Linked DNA regions of Oreochromis niloticus. Each later gene encodes a partner of the first gene's protein in a complex. Links are inferred from orthologs where the notes say so. Each region holds a gene or a part of one and is shown on either strand. Other genes may lie near its edges.

Region 1 (7,125 bases):
GTTCTGTCCAATTACAGGCCAATCTCAAAGCTTCCTTTACTGTCTAAAGTTTTGGAGAAAGTGGTCTACTTACAGTTGCAGGCCCACCTTGATTTGAATGTGATTTCTGAAAAAATTCAATCTGGTTTTAAATCATTACATAGCACTGAGACGGCACTTTTAAGGATTTTTAATGATATTCTTTTAACTCTGGACTCTGGTAGCCCTGCTGCCCTTTTATTGTTGGACCTGTCAGCAGCTTTTGACACGGTCGACCATGACATCCTGTTATGACGGCTAGAATTTCATGCTGGCCTAAAGGGATCTGCCCTACAGTGGTTTCGGTCCTACTTGTCAGGAAGGTCTTTTTATGTCAATATGGCCCCCATAACTCCAAACTAGCCCCTCTTAAATACGGTGTACCTCAAGGCTCTATTTTGGGTCCTGCCCTGTTTGCACTCTATTTGTTGCCATTGGGTTCCATCTTCTCGTGTTACAACATTTCATTCCACTGTTTCGCTGATGATTTGCAGATTTATCTGCCTTTAAAAGCAGGGTCTGACCGTCCCCAGCTCTTATTACGCTGCCTTGACGACATCAAACAGTGGATGTCGTTAAATTTTCTAAAGCTAAATGAAAATAAAACTTAAGTTGTCATTTTCGGCAACTTTGTCAATAATCACATCGATAGCACTCTAGGCCCCTTTTCCTCCTATTGTAAAACACATGTAAAAAACCTTGGTGTCTACCTTGATGGTTCTTTTAAATTGAATAAGCAGGTGAGTGCAGTAGTCCAGTTCTGATTCTTTCAGTTAAGACAGCTGGCCAAGGTAAAGCCATACTTCCCGGCTAACGTCTTTGAACGTGTTATTCGCCTCTTCCTTACTTGCAGGTTGGACTACTGCAATTCATTGTATTTTGGTCTCGACCAGAACTCCATTCATTGTCTTCAGATGGTCCAAAATGCAGCTGCTCGCCTGCTAACTGGGACCAAACGGAGAGAGCATATAACCCCAGTTTTAGCTTCTCTACACTGGCTTCCTGTCTCCTACAGGATCCAATTTAAACTTTTACTTTTTGTTTTAAAGTCACTTAACGTCCGAGCCCCTTCTTACCTGTCTGAGCTCCTTTCTGTTTATGCTCCAGGAAAAACCATGAGGTCTAGCTCAAAATTAATGCTTTCCATCCCACGGACTGATCTCAAATCTCGTGGCGATAGAGCTTTCTCTGTGGCAGGTCCCAGACTTTGGAATAGTCTCCCCCTAAATATTAGACCTGCACAAACACTTGATCAATTTAAATCACTACTTTTTATGCCCTGGCTTTTAACACACTATGACCCAAAAATTTTTGTCTTATTTTAATAGTCTTAGTTATTGTTTTAATTATTTTATTGTCCTATCATTGTTTTATATTGTTATTATTGTTTTACATTGTCTCTTTTTAATGGCATTTTTATATTGTTAAGCACTTTGTGCAGCATCGTCTGTCTGGCTTGCTGAAGCATTAAGAGTTCCTTTTACTGGAAATAACTCCTTAAAAACAACCCCACACCATAATCCCCCCTCCACCAAACTTTACACTTGGCTCAATGCAGTCAGACAAGAACTGCTCTCCTGGCTACCACCAAACCCAGACTCATCCATCGGATAGCCAGAAAAAGAGGCGTGATTCATCAGTCCAGAGAACAGGTCTCCACTGCTGTAGAGTCCACCACTGCTTTAAACCACTGCATCCAGCACTTTGCATTCCATTTGGTGATGTAAGGCTTGGATGCAGCTGGTGGTCATGGAAACCCATCCCATGAAGCTCTTTACACACTGTTCTGATCTAATCTGAAGGCCACATGAAGTCTGGAGGTCTGTAGTGATTGACTCTGAGAAAGTTGCCATCCTCTGCACTCAGTGCGCCTCAACATCTGCTGACCCTGCTCTGATTTTACATGCCCCACCTCTTTGTGGCTGAGTTGCTGCCGTTTCCGATCACTTCTGCTTTGCTTACCACTACCAACAGCTGACTCTGGAATATTTAGTACTGAGGACTTGACTGGACTTGTTGCACAGGTGGCATCCTATCACATTACCATGCTGGAACTCACTGAGCTCCTGAGAACAACCCATACTTTCACAAATGTTTGTAGAGGCGGTCTGCATGCCTGGGTGCTTGATTTTATACACCTGTGACCATGGAAGTGATTGAAACACCAAATTCAGTGATTTGGATGAGTGAGTGAATTCTTTTGCCACAATACTGTATATTGAGCTTAGGAAAATACAATCACTTGCTGCAAGAAACTAAAATGATCCAAAGATGGACAGCAGATAGCTCTCAGATAGCTACTCTGCTTTGCCGTTTCATTTGTACAAGCTGTATAAATATCACAGGAATATCAAGATGGAAGTGAAATGAGAAAAACAAAAAGTGAGATAGCAGCAAAATCTCTGCTGCTCATGCTCACACTCGCATAAACTCTGATATGGAATTTACCTGATACAGGGATCCTAAAAGAGCAGCCGGGGCAGCACACTACGTCCGGTATTCCTGGGAGAGGAAGAACATTCCCACACTCTGGGCAGAAGTTGGGACCACCACCAAAACACGACATCTCTGTTTCATGTAAAGTATTATTGTTATACATTTTGATATTATCAATAACTGTAAAATAGTATCGAATAAAAATTTAGACTGACTTATTTTGCTTTGTCGATTCACATTTTAGAGCTTACCTTCCAAAATAAGTTAAAGCGGTAATGTTGTTTTGTTGTCTAACACTCACTGGAGCAAAACACCGCACGTGGCACTTGAACACGTGAAGTGCAGTCGATTAAATCTGTAACTGTCAACTAACGCTGTGTTCAGCTTTCGTCGTCAGCCTTAGGCTTTAACAAAAGACTTTGATGATTTACCGTTTAATGTCTTCACAGGATTGGCAATCTAAACAAGACGCGGTTTATAGCAAAGATTCTCTGTTGTTACTTTCAGCCTGACATCTGCATGGTTACACACCGTCGGGTCCTACAGCGGTTGGTTGTCTGTCGCGTTCTACACGTCATTGTGACGCGCTAACAGTCGCGCTTTACTTTAAACAGCCGTTGACTTTTCTCTCTCGTAGTGAAGGTATGTCGATTATTAAAAGAACTGTAGGCAGTGCACGTTACCAGTACCTGCGGCAACATGACTGTCACCTCTCTGAAGTTTAATGTTGAGCCGTGAGATGTTCCAGTGAGGATATGATGAGTTCTTTGTTAGCCGCTGAGCTAATTGCAGCTAGCTGTTTAGAATACTTGGAATTTGCTTTTACGGTTATTGCTAAAAAGGCCACTCGCTGTGTTTACGTCAGCTGCCGTAATATCAGACGAGCCCGAGTGAATAACAGACATCGGGGATGGTCCCAGTTTTATGGCGACCGTAGTTTCATGTCGGTTATGATCTGCAGTGTGATGAAGAAATCTTAAAGACATATCAGTACTGCTGGATTTGAACTTTCAAAAGTCAAAACATAACTGCGCGTGTGGTTATAGCTATTTAATATTCAGCGACAATAAAAATAAAAGTTCCGGAATATTCCTTCAAAATAGAAGCTCAAAATGAAACCAGGCAATTGTTTTTTAGCACAGTGGACTGGTTCATGTTTTCAACCTGAGGTGGTGGACATCACTGGAGTCCTTATAGAAATTCTAGCCTGCCGTACAAGTTGGTGCCTCATGTTAGACACACCACTATTCTGGCATTTATGCAATATAAATTAATTTTGCAGGGTGGCACAGTTGTTAGCACTGTTGCCTCACAGCAAGAAGGTCCTGAATTCAGTTCCACCATCAGGCAACTCCACTTTATGTGTGGAGTTTGCATGTTCTCCCTGGGTTTTCTATGAGTACTCCGGCTTCCTCCCACACTCCAAAGACATGCAGTTAGTGGGGTTAGGTTAATTGGAAACTCTAAATTGCCCATGGGTGTGAATGGTTGTCTGTGTCTATGTGTTAGCCCTGTGACAGACTGACGACCTGTCCAGGATGTACCCTGCCTCTTGCCCTAAGAAAGCTGGGATAGGCACCAGTGTGACAGTACCTGGTGTTAAGTATTCTGCTTTCACTCAAAACACTTTGTAACCTTTGTACACCTTTTTAGTTCTGATTGAATTCTTTGTACCAACAATTTAACAGAGTGCAGAAAACATTTTCTCAGAGATTGTGGCCCATGTGGACATCATAACATCACACAGTTCCTGCAGATTTGTCAGCTGCACATCCATTGTAGACTGTACTATTTTTACTCATATTTGTTATCATGCTGCTGTAACACAAACATGTGGGATCAATAAAATATGTATTTATCTACACTCATGTTGTTTGTGCTAAATTCTGACCCTCCCATGCAAGTGTTGTAGCAGACTCATCAAACCAGGCAACGGTTTCCAAGCTTCTGTTGTCCAGTTGTGATGATGTTGTTCAAGTTGTAGCCTTGCTGTTGTGTTGTTAGCGGACAGGACTGGCACCTGGTGTGCTCTCCTGCCTCTGTAAGCCCACTTCATTTATCTTATGTTTTGTTATGATGCATGTCTGCAAGTAGCTAAGCAGTTTAGCAGTCTGGCCATTCTCCTCTGACCTCACACATCAACAAAGCACTCCATGGATATTTTCTCTTTTATTGGACAATTCTCTGTAAACCCTACAAAGGGTTTACACTGGATTTGTGTGGGAAAACCTTAGCAGAGACGTTTCTGCAGTACTCAGATTAGGATACAGGGCGCCAATAATCAAGGTGTGTTCAAAGTCACTTAAATCAGCGTTCTCCCCCATTCTACAGCTCTGTTTCAACTGGAGCAGGTCATAGTAATTATCTCTAAACGCCTAAAAAGCAATTCATCATTTCTCAACATTGTTGACATTTTTCAGTGTATTTGTTTTCTCTCCCCTTTTTTCTCTAATTTTTATGTATTTTTTGAGGAGGGTGAAGAATCTTTTTTATTCTTCTCTGCACTATTTTGGTCTCTGTTTATAGTTTGTTTGGTAAAAATAGAAATGGTTCTTCTCTGAAACAGTGATGAGCTGCACATGTATGTCATTCATTTATACACTGGATTGTATGGAACGATGTCCTGCATGTTTCCAAGGGACTTGGAGACCAGGGTTAATGATGTATGTCTAATTGTCAGTATAATAACAATGAAGTTGATTAGGACTTGACTTTGGGAGGGGGGATTGGGCTGCTGCACTCAGAGCATGAGCTTGAGATAGCTAGATTAAGGACATTTGCTCTCACTGACGTCTCCGAACCAGGAGTGAAAAAAAACCTGAAGTCTAAGCTGCTGGCTCCTTTTTGCACACATGCTGACCCCAATAATTATAACTTTGGCCATGTTGATCCTTTTAGCACTGTGAAAGTTTAAAAGCTCTTTGTTCCTGAAGTTTCATACACCACATTTGTTTTTCTCGTTTCGCAGCAGGGTCAGGATGACAGAAAACGACGTAGATAACGAGCTGTTGGACTACGAGGATGATGAGGTGGAGGCCGGAGGGGCTGGAGATGTTGGAGGTGCAAGTGACGTGTCGATAAGAAAGGAGGGGGTGAAGGGCTCTTATGTGTCCATTCACTCCTCTGGATTCAGAGACTTTCTATTGAAACCTGAACTGCTGAGAGCCATAGTGGATTGTGGGTTTGAACATCCGTCTGAGGGTAAGTAATTGGTGCCAGGAGGAAAATGTGGAACTGGTACAACCATTGCTGAATTTAATCACCTTTTTATCTTCTCTCTGTATTTGAAGTGTCTGATAAAGATTAATGTCAGTTCCTCCTTTAACAGAGCTGTGGTGGGTTTGTGTTGGCAATGGTAATTTTAGTTACATAGCACATTTCATTATGCTCAAACTCGATGTGCTGAACACAGAAGATAAAAACATGAAAATCTGTGTAGGTTTATGTGGTGGGGCGTGGACTGCGGTGCCGTGCGGATGCACCTGCACAGCATCCGCAATCACGCTCACCGTGTTAAAACATGGGGACTCAGGGGTTGGTGGGGTTGTGGTGGTGTGACAAATGTTGAATAAAGATGGCTCAAAACACAGATCTGCGGTCCCGCCGTGCCTTAATTCCACCACACTGGTGCCGAAACCCAGGACGCGGCGGGGTGCGTCCACACGGCACCGCAGACCACGCCCCATCACAGTTTGCAATCTAAATCATTGTAAACCTACCGTGAAAACAGCAAAATAGAATAGAATGCCATTTATTGTCATTGTAAATGTACAACAAATGTATAGGTGCTCCATAGACAGCAGGAATAAATGACAAACATAGCCATATGTACAATCTAGAGGAAAATGTGAAAAAAAAAGACTAAGGCACAGATTGGAGTGCTTGGAAGTGGTGCAAAGGTCTGACTGTAGAGCATGTATGTGAGAGGCCTGAGTGATGAGGGTTGCTCAGATAATGGCTCAGATTGGTGAGGTGGTTGGCAGGGCGTGGGGGGTTTGGGCATAGTGTTTGTTAACTATCAAGGGGAAGAAGCTGTTTGTGAGTGTGAAGGTTTGGGACCTTCACACTCACGGGATGTGAGTGAGGTGATGTAACCATCACCTTTGATGGACCTGGTTTTTCTGAAACAGGAGGAGCTGGCGATGGCTTCCAGGGATAGCAGAGGGCAGCCAGATTTTTTAGGCGGTGTTAATTACAGTCTGTGCAGCCTTCCTGTTCTCCGTCGTGGCGTCTGCGTACCAAACAGCCAGGCAGTAGGAGAGTACGCGCTTCACTGAGGAGCAGTAGAAGGCCAGCAGCAGCTTGTGATCAAGGTTATTCTTCCAAGAACCTGAAGGTGGAGACAGATTCCACCCGCTGTCCATTAATAATAATAATAATGATGATAATAATAATAATAACTTTATTTATAAAGCGCTTTCAAACAAAGTGCTGTACAGCTATTTGAAACTAAAAAGATAAATGAATAAAAGCGATACATAGCAATACAAGTAAAAAACAGTAAGAATTTAAAAACTAGAAGGCATAGAATTAAGACATGTAAGATAGGGTGAACAAATGTGTCTTCAACTTAGTTTTAAAAACTTCCACAGAGCATGCCTCCCTAATATCTTGAGGGAGGTTGTTCCAAAAAAATGGGGCAGGAAACGAAAAGGCACGCTCTCCAATTGT
Region 2 (7,346 bases), about 14 Mb from region 1:
GTTTCACCTATAAAGTTAGACTTCTTCATTTTCATCTTCAGTGATGTAGCAACTCCTAAAGGGAGCATAGCATCTCTAGCATCCTCCTCCTCTGAGGTCTTCCTGTTTTCCTCCTCTCAGGCAGCTCCATCTTCAGCATCCTTTGTCCCATATATCCAGCATCCCTCCTCTGCACATGTACCGCTCAACCGGAGCTGTCCCTCTGATTTTCTCATTTCTAATCCTGTCCATTCTGGGCACTTCCAGTGAAAATCTTAACATTTCGAACTCAGCCTCCTCTCTTTTCGTCAGCGCCACCATCTCAGAGCCATACATCAGAGCAGGTCATCTTATAAACCTTCCTTTTCACTCTTGCTTCTTTCCTTCTGTCATAAATCAGCCCCAACACTCGTCTCCATCCTGCCTGCGCTCTCTTCCTATAACGTTAGATTCAGTTTTAAACTTGTTTTGATCTTGTAGATGATTCAGAATTTGAATTGTTGTTACTCTCTTTATCTCCACAGTCCAGATGAAATGTGATTCAGAGACAATTTTGTTGTACATTTGGATTTTGTTGACTAAATGCCTTGTTCAGTACATGTAGTCATACATTGCTCAGCCGGGCTGAAGACACAAGTGTACAATCGTGCTGTTTAACGTCGCTTTGACTTTTTCTCCTCCCATACCAGCGCTGATGTGAAGGTCTGAGTTGCTCGCCTATCGTTCAGGAGAATACTGCAGTGGCTACTCGTGTGATGATGCTACCGGCAGTGCACAAAGTGACGAGTACACTGGGGCCTTTAGTTTTGCCCCGAAGCTACTAAAATCACCATCACTGATACTGCACACTTGCCTGGTCTTGTCCAGTCGTCCTCTGATCAGCAGCACCCCAGCAGTGTCGGCGTCGAGCGCCGTCACATCAAACTCCACCTCTGATCCGATCCTCGGCCCCGCGTCTCTCCATGTTTCCACAGAAACCAGATTCGGTCTGGGAATGCTGGCATTGAAGCAGCCGTGCACCAAGCAGCCTACGTGGCTTATTCCCAGTTTATTTACCTTACCCTACAAACAGACAAATACGTGATACACGCTGTTAGTTATTGTATTTTATCAGAGGCACTTTATCACTCCCACAAAATACAGGTACGCCTCAGAGCAGCAGGTTTTAATATGTCACTTGTTTGAATATTACAACAATAGTAAACACTGAAAAGTGCAGGTCTCGTTTAACAGACACTATATGTCAGGTAAAGTCCCGTCAGCTTCTCCGCTTCTACTAAATAATGTAAATGTAAATCTCACCCGTAGTTTTTGTCCTTTTTGCGGCTGAAAAACAATAAAGCTGGCTTCCACGTCCACGTGGATGTAGCCGCTGTCGTCGTAAATGTCTCCGAGGTGTCTCACTATCCTGATGTCGTCGTAGGCTAAGGGGACTCCGTTCAGACTGAAAGACACAACAGTAACGAGGTCATCTTGTGCATTAACAGTTTATTTAAACTGAAAAACCTTTTTGCGTTACCATTACTGGTTTTAATGCCTCACCGAGGCCACGCTCAGTGATTCATGCATAAAATACATTTTGCAGACAATCACACATTGTTTGTACTTTTACCTCTGCAGAGCACCACAGTGGATTCTAAAACAAACCATTAAGATGTGATTCAAGTTCAGATTATAAACTTTAACTCGGAGGGGTTTAACAAAATAACTACATTAACTGTTTAATCCTCAATTTTCAGAGGCTCACAAGTAACGGGACAGTTCAGTAACACTGAGTAACAGGTGTCTGTTTTTAGCCAGGAGAGGCCTGCTCTCTCTGTTAAACAATAAATTAAGCAGATAAAGGATAAAGGATCTGGAGAATAAAGAATTTTAAACTTGTATTTTGTAGCTGTTCCCTGGAATTATCATTATGTGGCCCAAAGAGATATCAGTGCACACAAAGATGATCTTCATCAGGCTGAGAAACCAAAGTAAAGCTATAAGAGAGAGCAAAATCATCTGTCAACCCGGTGGAGGAAGTATTAAAGCATGAGCATGCATGGCTGCCTGTGGAGCTGCATCGCTGGTGTTTATAGATAATGTGACAGCAGGACGACCTGGGGATCGTCTCTGCTCAGATTCAGACAAATGCTGCAAAACTAATCAGCCAGTGCTTTACAGTGCAAATGGACAATGACCCGAAGCACACTGCAAATCCCCAAGGGTTTCCCGAGGGAAAGAGCAGAGATAATCGTCAATGGCCAAGTTACCTGATCTCTACCAAATACAGCAGGTTTTCAGTTACTGAACTAACAATTGAATGCAGTTATTGCCCACAAATAAGCAGCAACTGCTGGCTGCAGTAAAGACCTGCTAGAGCTTCTCAAAGGAAGAAACCGCAGTTGGTGATGTGATGTTCATGACTTTTAGACTTTAGGCACTCATTGACTGTAAGGGATTTAAAAACACATTTAAACGGAGTTAGATTATGTGTCTATGGCTGTATTTTCCGGACAAACAATGCACTGATTTTGTTAAAGTCCCTGAATTAAAGCTGAAAGTCTGCGTTTCATGCGTAGCTACTAGGTTCATGAACTTTTACAACACACGAGACGGCTAGAAGACATCCCAGCTCGTGTGCGTGTTTGCGTACGTGGGAAAGTGGACTGTCCGGCTGAAAATGCTTTATTGACTGGATAAAATCGTCGGCGGGGGAAAAAAAGAAGCACCTTTGAGAGAACTTGAGCAGCTCGGCCTCCAGCTCCTCCTTTATCCCCGTCTTCTTCTTGTTCAGATACACGGGCGGCAGGGCGATGTGTCTCCGGTGGGTGTTCATGACCAGACACGAGTACGGCGCTGACAACAGCTCGGAGGCAGCGGCGAACGACGGGATCGATAACGGGAGGGCGGCAGCAGTGTTTACCGGTGCTGGGGTCTCTTGGGCCGCCTGGTCCGGGACGGACGCGTCGGGAGTTTCACCGGACATTCTCACATGTTTTGGGTTGTCTTCACCATGCTCCAAATTCGCCATGTTGCGTAGAAAGACCGGAAGACAAACAAGAGGTGACTTCCGCTTTGCATTTGTTATTGTTGCCCCCTGCTGGTGAAGAAGAGAAGCGCACCCCACAAACTTCATACTGCAAGCTTATTTCATAGTTTATTTTAGATCCCATTCACTATCTTTACGTAATGATTGTCAAAAAGTATTGTGTTTAATAGTTTTTTAGACACAGAAATATTCTAAAAACCTTGAAATAATTAGAAAATATGAAGAATTGTATAACTTACTGCCCCTTTTGTCTGCAGAGCACAGACTGAATCATCATCAAAACACTTTTACACTGTTTAACGATGATAAATGAGTGACTGCAGACTTAATGGCTGTTCATGGATAGTCTGTGTGCAGTAATGCTTTAATGTTTCCTGGCATAACATGTTGATGGATTTAAATATTGCATGTGGCCAAACTGTCTGTTAGTTTAAATAATGAATGTCCTGTGTAACATGGTGAACTTATTCCGAGTGGCTATTTCATTTTCACATTTTAAATTTGTAAATTAAATTTAGCCCTGCAAAGTAACTGCAGCCACAGATAAATATGTTTCATCTGAGCAAGCACCTGGCGGCAGTGGGAAGGAAGAACTCCTCTTTAACAGGAAGAAACCTCCTGCAGAAGTAGGCTCAGGCATTCGCCAGCATCACTTTTAGCTTTAGACAAAATTTTAGCAAATTAAAACGAGCACCATGTGGCTTTGCTGTTGTAAGTAGCTGTTATGATGCTTACGTAAGTTACCTGATGCCCTTTGTTATGTAATCTACAAGTTCGGCCCTGATAGGCCTGGCAGGGATGCTGTTAGGGAGCTCGTGTGGTAGGAGGTGATCATTGATTCTGTATCCCATTCTCACCCGCAGAGCCACATTAAGATCATTAGGGTGACCTGAGGTGTCAATTAGTGCAACTAGTGCAGCGTGTCCAGCCATACACACAGGCATACACTGAAAATATCCTGACACATGCACAGATGTATCTAGTGTTACTGTTTTCTGACAGGGCAGCACCGCAGGAGGTCACATGATTCAGCGTTTCTCTCTCTTTATCACACACACTCTCACAGGAATCGCAGACCCGGTGCTCTGTTAGGAGCCATGGCCCTTTCCTGTCTGTTGTCACGGTGATAAATAGTGCATGGTTTCTTAGCTCCCTGTGGCTTCTGCTGCTGTGGGCCCCAGTCAGCACACAAACATGCATAAATGCACACAGATGCACACACATCTCTGTTTGGAGCTTCTCTCTGGAGTTGGCGAACACTGTAATGAGGTGCTGAGCAGCAATGATGTTGTCAGAGCTTATCTTCATAAGAGGTCACAGCTGTGTCTGTGTGCAAGCATCTGTGTGGAGGAAACAGGTTTTTATTGCTCTTCCTCCTTTGTGAAGCATTTTAAGCTTGCAGGTCTGACGGGTGCTATGAAACTGATTTACTTTGTCACTTAACTTTACGACAAGTGTGGGAACCCTGAACAGCATCATCATTGCCTTAAACTGTGGTCTCATGAGAATGCAGTGGCTTTCTGAATTGATGATGCTATGAAGGACTGGAACTGCCAAAATCTAAAATTCAACCCAACAAATATATTATTGTCATTATAACCATCAACATGGATTTTGATCATTTTGATCATTTTCTTTGTATTTAATTCAGTCTCTATTAATTCTCCTGCTATGCATTTTCCTATATAACTTCCCTTGTTATTTACTGATTTTTTCATTATTTAATAGCTTAGTTATAAAAGAACCATACTGGATAAAGAAATTAAAAATGTTAAATTAAAAAATAGAGACAGGAAATATATTGGGGACAAATGTGGTAGAGGAAATAATGCATAAGTACATAGTTTGTAAATGACTCAGTGAATAAAATGGCACATAAAATAAAAGAAGAAGTATAAGGCATGAGTGGACAAGCAAAAATAGATAACTGCTGGATGGTATTACACAGGGATTACATGAGGATGTGGGATCTATGGGTTCTTTGACAACCAGCATCTAGACAAACATCAAACTTGAACTTCAGTGCTCCAACATCCACAAGATGCAACTGCTATTGCAATGAGTGACTGATTAGGTACAACACAAAAAATAAGGGGACATTATGTCAGAGGAATGTCATCATCTCCACACTTTCTGGGTATCAAGCCCCCCAAAACAACTGGTACTTTGAATGCAAGAACAGCTGACCTGGAAGAGAATATCATGGCTTTGGTTTCACCCCAAGTCCAGCTCCCTGAGACTTTACTCTAAGCAGAAGGAAGGAGGCAGAAGAGCACAGAGTTTCAGAAACACTATCCAGGATAGTAAATAAATATCCAGGCATTCAGGCAGCAGTATTCCCAGAAAGAAGAGGAGCAAGAAGAGGAACCATCATGGAAGGACAGGCCCCTGCACGGCATGTGCCATTGTCAGTTATAGAGAAATTCTAAGCACAGGATTGATAGAGGCTGGGGTCTACCACACCAGGCAAGACCACAGGTGTAGGCTGTGTAAAGATGCCCCTGAGACAGTCCAACACATAACAGCAGGATGCAAGATGCTAACAGGCATGGCATACGTGGAACGCCATAACCAAGTGGCCAACATAGTATACAGAAACATCCGTGCTGAGTATCACCTTGAAGTCCCAAGATCAAAATGGGACACACCCCCTGGGTTGTCGAGAATGACCAAGCTAAGATCCTGTGGGACTTCCAGATACAGACAGACAAACTGGTGATGGCTAACCAACCGGACATAGTAGTGGTGGACAAGCAGAGCAAGACGGCTGTATACCGAGTGATAGGAATTAGGAAGAAGGATCACGAGAAGCTCGAGAAGTACCAATGGCTGAGAGAGGAACTCGAGAAGATGTGGAGGGTGAAAGTAACAGTGATCCCAGTGGTAATCGGATTACTCGGTGCAGTGACTCCCTGAACAGGGCGAGTAGCTCCAGCAGATCCCAGGAACAACACCCAAGATCTGTGTACAGAAGAGCACAGTCCTAGAAACAGCAAAGATACTGCGCAGGACCCTCAAGCTCCCAGGTTCTGGTAGAGGACCCGAGCTTGCAGACCGCCCACAAGGTGTGAGATGGTTGCTCTCTAATGTGTGTTTTGAAAAAAACCCCACCTGGATTTCGTTAATATGACTGAGTCATTTAAATACGGTTCTTCGTAGTGCGATTTTTCAGTGTGTTATTTTAACCTTTGGGTGTTACTATCACCTACAATGATGTAGTGTATTGATTAAAATGCTGAAATCTGGCTTACGAACTGAAAAGTAATTCCCATCACAATTTTACTTAAACCTCACATACTTCACAAACACAAACACACTTCCACAAACATGCATGTTCATGTACTATAAACACACAAACTGGCAACTATGTAAGTAAAAAAAAGGCTAGTCTGCATAAACAGCGATCATAAAACCAGATTCATCTCAACATGTATTTAACAGAGCAACAGTAAAACAAAATGCAAGACTGTGCAATTCTTTTATTAGTCGTACTTTAATTGAATGAACTTTATAAGAAGCATTATAAAAATATGTTTGATTTACAAGCATGGATACATACAGTACATTGTGCATTACTGTAATTTTTTTCTCTCAAAGCATTCCATTATCAGATGATACATACAGTTTACCAAAGGCTATCTCAAGATCTGGATTCCATAAACCAATAACATGACAGAGAGGGAGAGAATAAGGACGATGAGACTGAAATAGCTCTTCTAAACAAGTGAATCAGCTGCATGCTTGGTTTGTGCTCATCACTTTGATCTGACTGGATGAAATGTATCCTTCCCGCTCACAAATTGGAGGATTTCACGCAGATGTCTGTCACCTCATTTGTCATCCAAACGGCAGCTCACCATCCCGGCTTTGGTGTGAGTTAAACCGAAGGTATTTGAACCCATGTTTGCATAATATTCAGAAGCACAAACGGCTCCTTCATGCCGTCCGCTTCACTCAGTCAGCAGGTAAACGGGTTCCAAGGCGACAAATTTGGTTCAGTCCCTGCAGTCAGGATACAGTTAAACGCAGTCTACTACAAGCTGCATTAGCTGCGTGACAGCATGAGTTTTAGTAACTGCTCCTGTTTAAGACTGCAAATCATCTCCTGCTGAAACTTCCTCAAGGAGACGCCGCGGTGTGTCCATTATAGGAGATCTGAGGAATACCATTACTGGAGTTGTCCAGGACCTCCTGTTAGAGACACACAAACACAAACCTGCTTAACAAACACTTCCAACAGCGGCTGAAGATGAATCATGCAGTTTACTACCTTCTCTGTCATCTCATGGGAATGATGTAGCGAGTGTTCCCTCTCCAAGAACATCCTTTGCTGCTC

The links.
Region 2: polr1h (region 1) and polr1f share a complex: the UniProt entries of both Homo sapiens proteins name them as parts of the RNA polymerase I (Pol I) complex. The link is inferred for Oreochromis niloticus from reciprocal best matches to the Homo sapiens genes POLR1H and POLR1F.

The regions. Positions count from the first base shown.
Region 1 is NC_031985.2:37,865,629-37,872,753, forward strand, and holds the start of polr1h (DNA-directed RNA polymerase I subunit RPA12), read right to left. Parts: upstream 3,009-7,125; 5' UTR 2,706-3,008; intron 2,587-2,705; 5' UTR 2,585-2,586; coding exon 2,467-2,584; intron 1-2,466. Other genes in the region: ddx39b (DEAD (Asp-Glu-Ala-Asp) box polypeptide 39B), read left to right, coding at 5,433-5,655. UniProt on the Homo sapiens protein: Core component of RNA polymerase I (Pol I), a DNA-dependent RNA polymerase which synthesizes ribosomal RNA precursors using the four ribonucleoside triphosphates as substrates. Can mediate Pol I proofreading of the nascent RNA transcript.
Region 2 is NC_031985.2:23,851,175-23,858,520, reverse strand, and holds the start of polr1f (DNA-directed RNA polymerase I subunit RPA43), read right to left. Parts: upstream 3,024-7,346; 5' UTR 2,993-3,023; coding exon 2,691-2,992; intron 1,424-2,690; coding exon 1,282-1,423; intron 1,042-1,281; coding exon 833-1,041; intron 1-832. Other genes in the region: tmem196 (transmembrane protein 196), read right to left, coding at 7,130-7,201, 7,281-7,346. UniProt on the Homo sapiens protein: Component of RNA polymerase I (Pol I), a DNA-dependent RNA polymerase which synthesizes ribosomal RNA precursors using the four ribonucleoside triphosphates as substrates.